2 linked regions of the Oryctolagus cuniculus genome follow. The protein of the gene in region 2 interacts with the protein of the main gene of each other region in a biochemical or structural test. Links are inferred from orthologs where the notes say so. Each region holds a gene or a part of one and is shown on either strand. Other genes may lie near its edges.

Evidence for each region.
Region 1: the proteins of APEX1 (region 2) and MUTYH form a complex in vitro, tested with the Homo sapiens proteins (3 studies listed by BioGRID and IntAct, with this or other methods). The link is inferred for Oryctolagus cuniculus from reciprocal best matches to the Homo sapiens genes APEX1 and MUTYH.

The regions. Positions count from the first base shown.
Region 1 is NC_091438.1:127,564,260-127,567,715, reverse strand, and holds part of MUTYH (adenine DNA glycosylase), read right to left. Parts: intron 2,015-3,456; 5' UTR 2,009-2,014; coding exon 1,894-2,008; intron 1,051-1,893; coding exon 860-1,050; intron 769-859; coding exon 729-768; intron 619-728; coding exon 545-618; intron 408-544; coding exon 366-407; intron 283-365; coding exon 211-282; intron 135-210; coding exon 21-134; intron 1-20. UniProt on the Homo sapiens protein: Involved in oxidative DNA damage repair. Initiates repair of A*oxoG to C*G by removing the inappropriately paired adenine base from the DNA backbone. Possesses both adenine and 2-OH-A DNA glycosylase activities.
Region 2 is NC_091443.1:54,294,268-54,298,624, reverse strand, and holds the start of APEX1 (DNA repair nuclease/redox regulator APEX1), read left to right. Parts: upstream 1-1,333; 5' UTR 1,334-1,470; exon of another isoform or gene 1,471-1,649; intron 1,650-1,796; exon of another isoform or gene 1,797-1,798; 5' UTR 1,799-1,866; coding exon 1,867-1,924; intron 1,925-2,139; coding exon 2,140-2,327; intron 2,328-3,647; coding exon 3,648-3,840; intron 3,841-3,974; coding exon 3,975-4,357. Other genes in the region: OSGEP (tRNA N6-adenosine threonylcarbamoyltransferase), read right to left, coding at 827-941.

The sequences.
Region 1 (3,456 bases), on a different chromosome or scaffold from region 2:
GGGGTGGGCTATGGGCTCACCTGGCCAAAGGCGATGGAAGCTATGGCCCCAGCTGTGTAGCGCCCCACACCAGGCAGGAGCCGCTGCAGGGTCTCTGCGGTTCGTGGCACATGGCCCCCAAGTTCCTCTACCACCTGATAGGGGTAGGAAAGCTCAAGGTTACTACAGACTCAAGGTCCCTGGACTCCCAACTCCCCACGATTTCCTCACCTTCCGAGCTCCCTCCTGCAGCCTCCTGCCTCGAGAATAGTAGCCCAGGCCAGCCCAGAGCTGGTTCACCTCCTGTGGGTGGGGCCACAGGTCCACAAGATCACTGGTCAATCCCTCAGCTGTTTCCCTTTCCCCTACCCTAGTGTGGCTCTCACCTCCAGGGAAGCACTGGCCAGGTCCTGCAGTGTTGGCCACTTCTACAGCCCCAAGGCAGGCAAAAAGAGATGAGGTCACGGATGAGAACGGTAGAGGAAGCCTTCCTTACACACACCCCAAAGTATAGGCTCTCATCTGGGGTCTGACTCCTGACCCTCCCCTTCCTCCCATGAGTCACCTGCATCCATCGGGTGTAGTAGTTGATCACCGTGGCAACCTGAGTCTGCTGCAGCATGACCTCTGAGACCCACACTGGGGAAGAGGGGCTGGCATGAGGGCACTGCTGACCTGCTCGCTGCCTGAAGCCCCCAAAGCTGAGACCATGCAGGCAAAGCAGCCCTACTTTCAGGAGATGTACTGACCAGCATACGCCCGCCTGTCTGGGTCCACCTCATCCTCTGCCTGTCAATGCAACCCAGATACGCAGTTAGCATGGAGAGGGTTGGGTGCCAGTCTCTCCCCACCCCTCCATCCCTTTCCCTTCCCTGCCTACCCGTCTCCTCCAGGGTAGGTCCCGCTTCTCACGGTCATACCAGTTCAGCAGGCCCTCACGGAAGGCTGTGACTTCAGCTGAATCTCTGAACAGATGGTACGGGGAGACGGAGGCCTGCGACACCACCTCTTCCTGCTGTCTGGCCGGGCCTGCTGGGGCCTCAGGACACTCAGGGATTCTCCCTGTGCAGGCTGTGAACCAGGGACACAGGACACAGCAGCCTGTGGCAATATGCTCCCACCGAGGGCTTCCCGACCTCTGCTTAAGCCTCGGAGCTGCAGTCACAGTTCTCGTGCTCTATGCAGCCTTGGCCAAGGTTCTGGCCTTAATTTCCAGTGGTATGACCGGCTCATTTGTTTCTGGGCCATAATGGAAACCCAAGAGTGTCAGCCATGTAGAATGTACACTTGCACAGAGTTTTCCTGTTTATAAAACACTCCCAGTCTCACAAACATGTGCTCCCACAAAAGCCGTGGGAGAAAAGAAATGCAGATCACTGCTCCACTTCACTGGTAAGAAAGCAGCCATTCACAGCAATTATCGCAAAGTCACAAAGCAGCGTAGTCAGAACTAGGTCCTCAATTAGTCCCTCAATGCCATGAAAGGCAGAGTGACACACAGAGAGGGAGAGTAAGAGAGAGAGAGAGGGCAAGGGAGAGAAAGAATCCATCTTCCAGTTCACTCCCTAAATGGCTACAATAGCCAGGAATGGGCCAGGCCAAAACCAGTAGCCTGGAACTCCATTCAGGACTCCCACATAGGTGGCAGGGGCCCAGGTATTTGGGCCATCATCCACTGCTTCCCCAGGTGCATTAGCAGGGAGCTGGATCAGGAGTGGAGTAGCTGAAAACTCGCACCAGCACTCGGATATGGAATGCTGGCGTTACAAGCAGTGGCTTAACTCACAGTGCCACAGTGCCATCCCCAGTCTCAATGCCTTGACACATTCCATGCTCCCTTCCTAGCCCAAGGCTCCCCCCTTTCACGGCTGATGAAACCAGCCCCGAGCCTCTGGCTAGGGCCAAATTCCTCACCATCAGGGTCAGAAGGTGCAATTTGGCTGCTACCAAGGGCATGTTGTTTTCTTCGCTTCTTGCTGGCTGCCTGCTTCCTGTGACCACTTCCCACAGCTCCTCGTGGCTTCCTCATGATGGCCTAGATGAGAAAGACCCAATTAGGGGCCAGCCTTGTGGCACAGTGGGTTAATACACTGCCTGCAACCTTGGCATCCCATATGAGCACCAGTTCAAGTCCCAGCTGCTCCACTTCTGATTCAGCATCCTTGCTAATGCACCTGGGAAAGCAGTGGAAGATGCCCCAGGTGCTTGGGTCCCTGCCACCCACATGGGAGACCTGGATGGAGTTCCAGGCTCCTGGCTTTGGCCTGTCCCAGTCCCAGCAGATACAGCTATTTGGGGAATGAACCAGCAGATGGCAGATCTCTCTTTCCCTCTCTGTAACGCTGCCTTTCAAATAAATAAATAAATGTTAAAAAAAAAAAAAAAAAGACCCAGCCAAAGTCGTCAAAAGGCTATTTCAGGGTCATGCAGGGGCGATAGCTACCTTCCTGCCAACACCATTCACATGTCTCGCTTTTCTCATGCACTCAGGAAGCCCATGGGTTTGCTCTTGACTGGCTGTGGCATTGTGGCAACCCGTGAGGCTAACCAAATGGTCTCACAGGAACCAGCATGAGTACAGCCCTAGAGACATGCAAGCTTTAAGGGGCCATGGCTGGGATGGGTCAAGGACCAAGACCTCCTGTTTTGGAGCATTTGTGTCTCACTGATGCTTACTGTGACCGCATGTGGGGAGAGGGGTTGTTTAGATGTGTCTGGGAGCATGTGGGGTGGGTGGGAGAATTCTCTGCTTAGAGATGTAGCATGGCTATGCTAAAACAAACTTTCATAGTCATTTAGTCCAAATCTTCATTTTACAGGCATTAGAAACCAAGGATCAGAGAGAAAAGATTTGCCTATGAGCAGATGGCAAATCAGTAGGGGATACAGATGAGCTATTTTTATACCTAATCTCTTCCTGATCTAGTAAGTCATAGCTGGCTGACCACTAGTAATGAGAAAATGCATCCAGGCGATCTTCACTGCTCCATTCTCTGGTTGCCTTGTCTTAGTGGCTGTAAGTACCTAAACTCAGTGAGCACCCACTCTATGCCAGACCCTGTCAAGTGCTTCACTGGATCTGCCATTCAACCTCTTGATAACTCCATCGCATGGACTATCACCTCTCAGTGGTTAGGGGAGAGCGAGCCTTGTACAGAGGAAGCAACTTTTTCTTTCAAACCCAGAACCTGCTCTGCACTTAAAAAAAAAAAAAAAAAAAAAGATGTATTTATTTATTTATCTATCTATCTGAAAGGCAGAGAGAGAGAGAGAGAGATGTCTTTCATCTGCTGGTTCATTTCCTAAACACGTGCAACAGCCAGAGTTGGGCCAGGGCAAGAGTCCAAATCTCCACCCAGGTCTCCCATGTGGAGGTAGGCATCCCAGTACTTGGGCCATAATGCACAGCCTCCCCGGGCGCATCACCAGGAAGTTGGACTGGAAGCAGAGTAGCAAGGACTTGAACTGGCACTGTTA
Region 2 (4,357 bases):
ACGGAACAGAAGCTGTTCAGTGTCTGGTACTTTCATTTAGTCCCCAAGACACAATGTTAAGGCACCACCACTCCCATTTTAAGAGTCACAAAGTACAGTGGGTGTTCTGGCACTTGGGACACCCACATTCCCCATGGGAGTGCCCAGGCTCAAGGCCTAGCTACTCGGCTTCCAATCCAAGTTCCTGCTGATGTGCACCCTGGCAGGGAGCAGATGATGGCCAAGAGTATGAGCCCCTGCAACCCATAAATGGGAGACACGGATGGAGCTATTGGCTCCTGGCTTCTGCCTCACTCAGCCCTGGCTACTGCAGGCATTTGGGAAGTGGACCAGTAGATGAGGTTCTCTCTGGCTGGCTGTCACCCTGCCTTTCCAGTAGATAAAAATAAGCAAAAAGCAAACATTAAAAAGTGAAAAAAAAAAAAGTCAAGAGTATCCCAATACCAGTCAATTCTATCCGGTACCTAAATCCTAATTCCTTCCATCTTCACGTCTCTCCTCCGCATTTTACAACATTTTGAGTCCATCTCTATTACACCACTCATCACGCTGTTACAATTCGTTTATACATTAGACTCCAGGGTAGATTTCTACAAGTTTATGAGGTCTTGGTACGCAAAAAGCATTCAATGAAAGCTCGACAACCCCAGAAGATTCAGGTCCAAGCGCCTGTGGCTCTTCCACTCATCCGCCTTCTGACAATAACATCACATAACCTCAACGAGCTGTAAAATGGGACAAAATTCCCCGGGCCCCATTCACTGGTGTTCAGGGAAATAGGTGATGTGCGCGGGGAAGGTCGTCGCAAATTAAGTCCAGGACTCACCTGTGCCCGGAGGCGTGACATAGGTCCGCCGCGGGTTGGCCAGCACCTTGCCATCCCGCACCACTCCCACGCCAATCTTGTTGGCGCTGCCTTCAAACCCCAGCACCGTCGGCATGGCGCCGCCTGAGAGAGAACGCCAAGGCGCCAAACACCGAGCCGCGACAGCCCTCGGCGGGCGGTACCGGCACGCTGTTGGTAAACAGTAAACCGCGCCCGGACACCAAAACCTGCCGCGGGGGCAGTGCCCGCGCCTGCGCCTGCGCCCGCCGGCGACCCACAAGGCCCCTTCCGGAACCTGTCTCCGGAGCTGCCGGGAGCGCTGAGCCGGCCTCTGCGCCGGCCCTGCCTAGTCCACTCCCCCGCCTCTCTCCTGCGGCCCAGCCCAGTCGCTGCCACTGAGCTTCTGCCCCCTCGCACGGCGCCGGCTCCTTCGGTCAGGGCGGCAGAAGGAGCCGTACATCAGGCACGAACGTGAACAGCCCAAGAACGGAGCCTTGGGACCTTCAGCCCTCCGCGGAGTGAGAGGGGCGTGTCAGAGTCTCCGTCACGTGGTGGCAGACGGCCCAATCACGCGCGGCCTCGGGTCACGTGACCACGCCAGTTACCCACGTGGGCGTCCAGCGTGCTCCCTTCTTTGTGCTCGGGTAAGGAGCCAGGCTGGGGCAGGAGCGGGGCAGGAGCAGGTCAGGTGCAGCGCTGCGTTTTTGCTTGTTGGAGGGGCCTCCGCTAGCTGCCTCACGGGACCTTTAGTAAAGGTCTCCCGTTGGCCGTAGAGCGGATCTCGCGGTGATTCAAACGCTCTATGGATAGATCTAGTTGGGGAGTGAAGCGCCGAAGGCCTGATGCACCGAGGCGGGGACAGGATTCAGAGATTATGTGGTTTGAAAGGCGGGACTTAGTGCGGGGGCCGTCCAGGGCAGGAGTTTTCTCCCCAGCCTTCGCCGGCTGAGTCGTATATCTTTGCATCCTTAGGCATCGCGGTGAAGATACTGCTTCGGTGGTCGACGTGGTTCGGGTGCCGAAGGGCGATCGTTACAGGCATGCCAAAGCGAGGGAAGAAGGGGGCCGCGGCAGAAGACGGGGAGGAGCCCAAGACGGGTGAGAGTGAAGCGGCCTCTCCCTGCCAGTCGCGGTGGGCGGGGTTGGGGGGGCTGCTTCTGAGTCCCTTGGCGAAATGTTAGCTGTGGGCCAACTCATAGCGGGCGCAGGAGAGGAAGTCGCGCTAACCGCAGGGTCGCGGTGCGTTTGCCTTGGACTCTGACTCGATGTTGGAAACCTCCAGCTCTTATCCCTACGTATTATTCTCGTTATAGAGCCAGAGACCAAGAAGGCTAAGACGGCAGCGAAGAAAAATGAAAAAGAGTCAGCAGGAGAGGGCCCCGTGCTGTATGAGGACCCCCCAGACCAGAAAACCTCACCTAGCGGCAAAGCTGCCACACTGAAGATCTGCTCCTGGAACGTGGATGGGCTTCGAGCCTGGATTAAGAAGAAAGGCTTAGATGTGAGTGGAATTCAGATTTCATGCTGAATGGTCTCAGGGCTTCATTAGCGTCTTTTCATTTTAATGCCCAGGATGTAACTTTTTTTTCTCCTTTCTTTTCTTGTGGGAGAAGTACAAGGGGCAAAGGGAAAGCAGTAGAAGATGAACCAAGACTTGCTGGAATGTCCATTCCTTCATTGCCATTGCCAGTCTTACTAATGTATCCTTCCTCCGACTGTTGCAAAAACCTCTGTGCTGGCCAGCCTCCATTTTAGCTCCAGAATACCCTCCATTCCCAAATCTACTGCTTAAAAGTCTTAGCTGCCCTTGTGATGGCTCTAATGTTTCATCCTGAGCAAGCCAGACAGCATAAAGGATTGTAAATCAGGTCTTCTGTTGGGTTCATTCCCACCTTTTCTTTTCTTTTAAAGATTTATCCATTTGTTTGAAAGGCAAAGTTACAGAGAGAGAGAGAGGTCTTCCATACAATGGTTCACTCCCCAATTGACTGCAACAGCCAGAGCTGCGCCCATCTGAAGCCAGGATCTTCTAGGTCTCCCACACCGGTGCAGGGGTCCAAGGACTTGGGCCATCTTCTACTGTTTTCCCAGGCCATAGCAGAGAGCTGGATCAGAAGTGGAGCAGCCGCTGGCCATTGCAGCCATCTGGGGAGTGAACCAGCAGATGGAAGACCTTTCTGTCTATACCTCTCTCTGTAACTCTTTCAAATAAACAAAATAAATCGAGTACCGGCCCTTCAGCAAGACCTTGCGCTTCAACGTGCTCAAGGTCACCAAGGCCGATGGCACCAAGAAGCAGTTCCAGAAGTTCTGAAACCAACGCCCACCTGCTCCCCAGAGAAATAAAGCTATTTTCCCACTCAAAAAAATGGAGCAGCCGGATCTTGAACTGGCGCCCATATGGGATGCCAGTGCTTCAGGCCAGGGTGTTAACCCGCTGTGCCACAGCACTGGTCCCTGTCCCCACCTTATTAACAGTTTCTTCCCCAGAATTGTACTTAAAAACCCTTAACACCAGCCCCTTTGGGTTTTTTCCTCTCTTGGAAGTCCCCCTCCATGCTGTTGTGGCTGGATGTCTTTGACTGTCATAAATCTTGCTTTTTAAGTCTAAAAAACAACCAACAAAATCTTAGCTGGCTATCCGCTACCTATAGAAAAAAACACAATCTCTTAGTGTAGCATTTAAGATTTTTTTTTTACCTCCTTCCATTGTCAGTTACAATAATTGTCCAAGATTTGTGCTGCTACACAGAGCTGCTTATGCACATGTATTGAGTAAAAGTCTCCTGAGCTGATGTTTTTTCCCCTTTTTCACTCCCAGTGGATAAAGGAAGAAGCCCCAGATATTCTGTGCCTCCAGGAGACCAAGTGTTCAGAGAACAAGCTGCCAGCTGAACTTCAGGAGCTGCCTGGATTACCTCACCAGTACTGGTCAGCTCCTTCAGACAAGGAAGGATACAGCGGGGTGGGCCTCCTTTCCCGCCAGTGCCCGCTCAAGGTCTCCTATGGCATTGGTAAGAGCCTGCTGCCCCCAGTGCCTGAGTGCTTCCAGAACTGCTGATACTGTCCTGGCCCACTCCGATTCCTTTCTTCCCTGCCTTCTCTTCGTGCAGTTCTTTATGCTGATTCTGTTGCACTGATTTTGTAGGTGAGGAAGAACACGATCAGGAAGGCCGGGTGATTGTGGCTGAATTTGATGCGTTCGTGCTGGTAACAGCCTACGTGCCTAACGCGGGCCGTGGTCTGGTAAGGTTGGAGTACCGCCAGCGCTGGGACGAAGCCTTCCGAAAGTTCCTGAAGGGCTTGGCTTCCCGCAAGCCTCTTGTGCTGTGTGGGGACCTCAACGTGGCGCATGAAGAAATTGACCTTCGCAACCCCAAAGGGAACAAAAAGAATGCTGGCTTCACTCCACAAGAGCGCCAAGGCTTTGGGGAATTGCTGCAGGCTGTGCCACTGACCGACAGCTTTCGGCACCTCTACCCTGACACTGCCTACGCCTATACCTTTTGGACTTACATGATGAATGCCCGG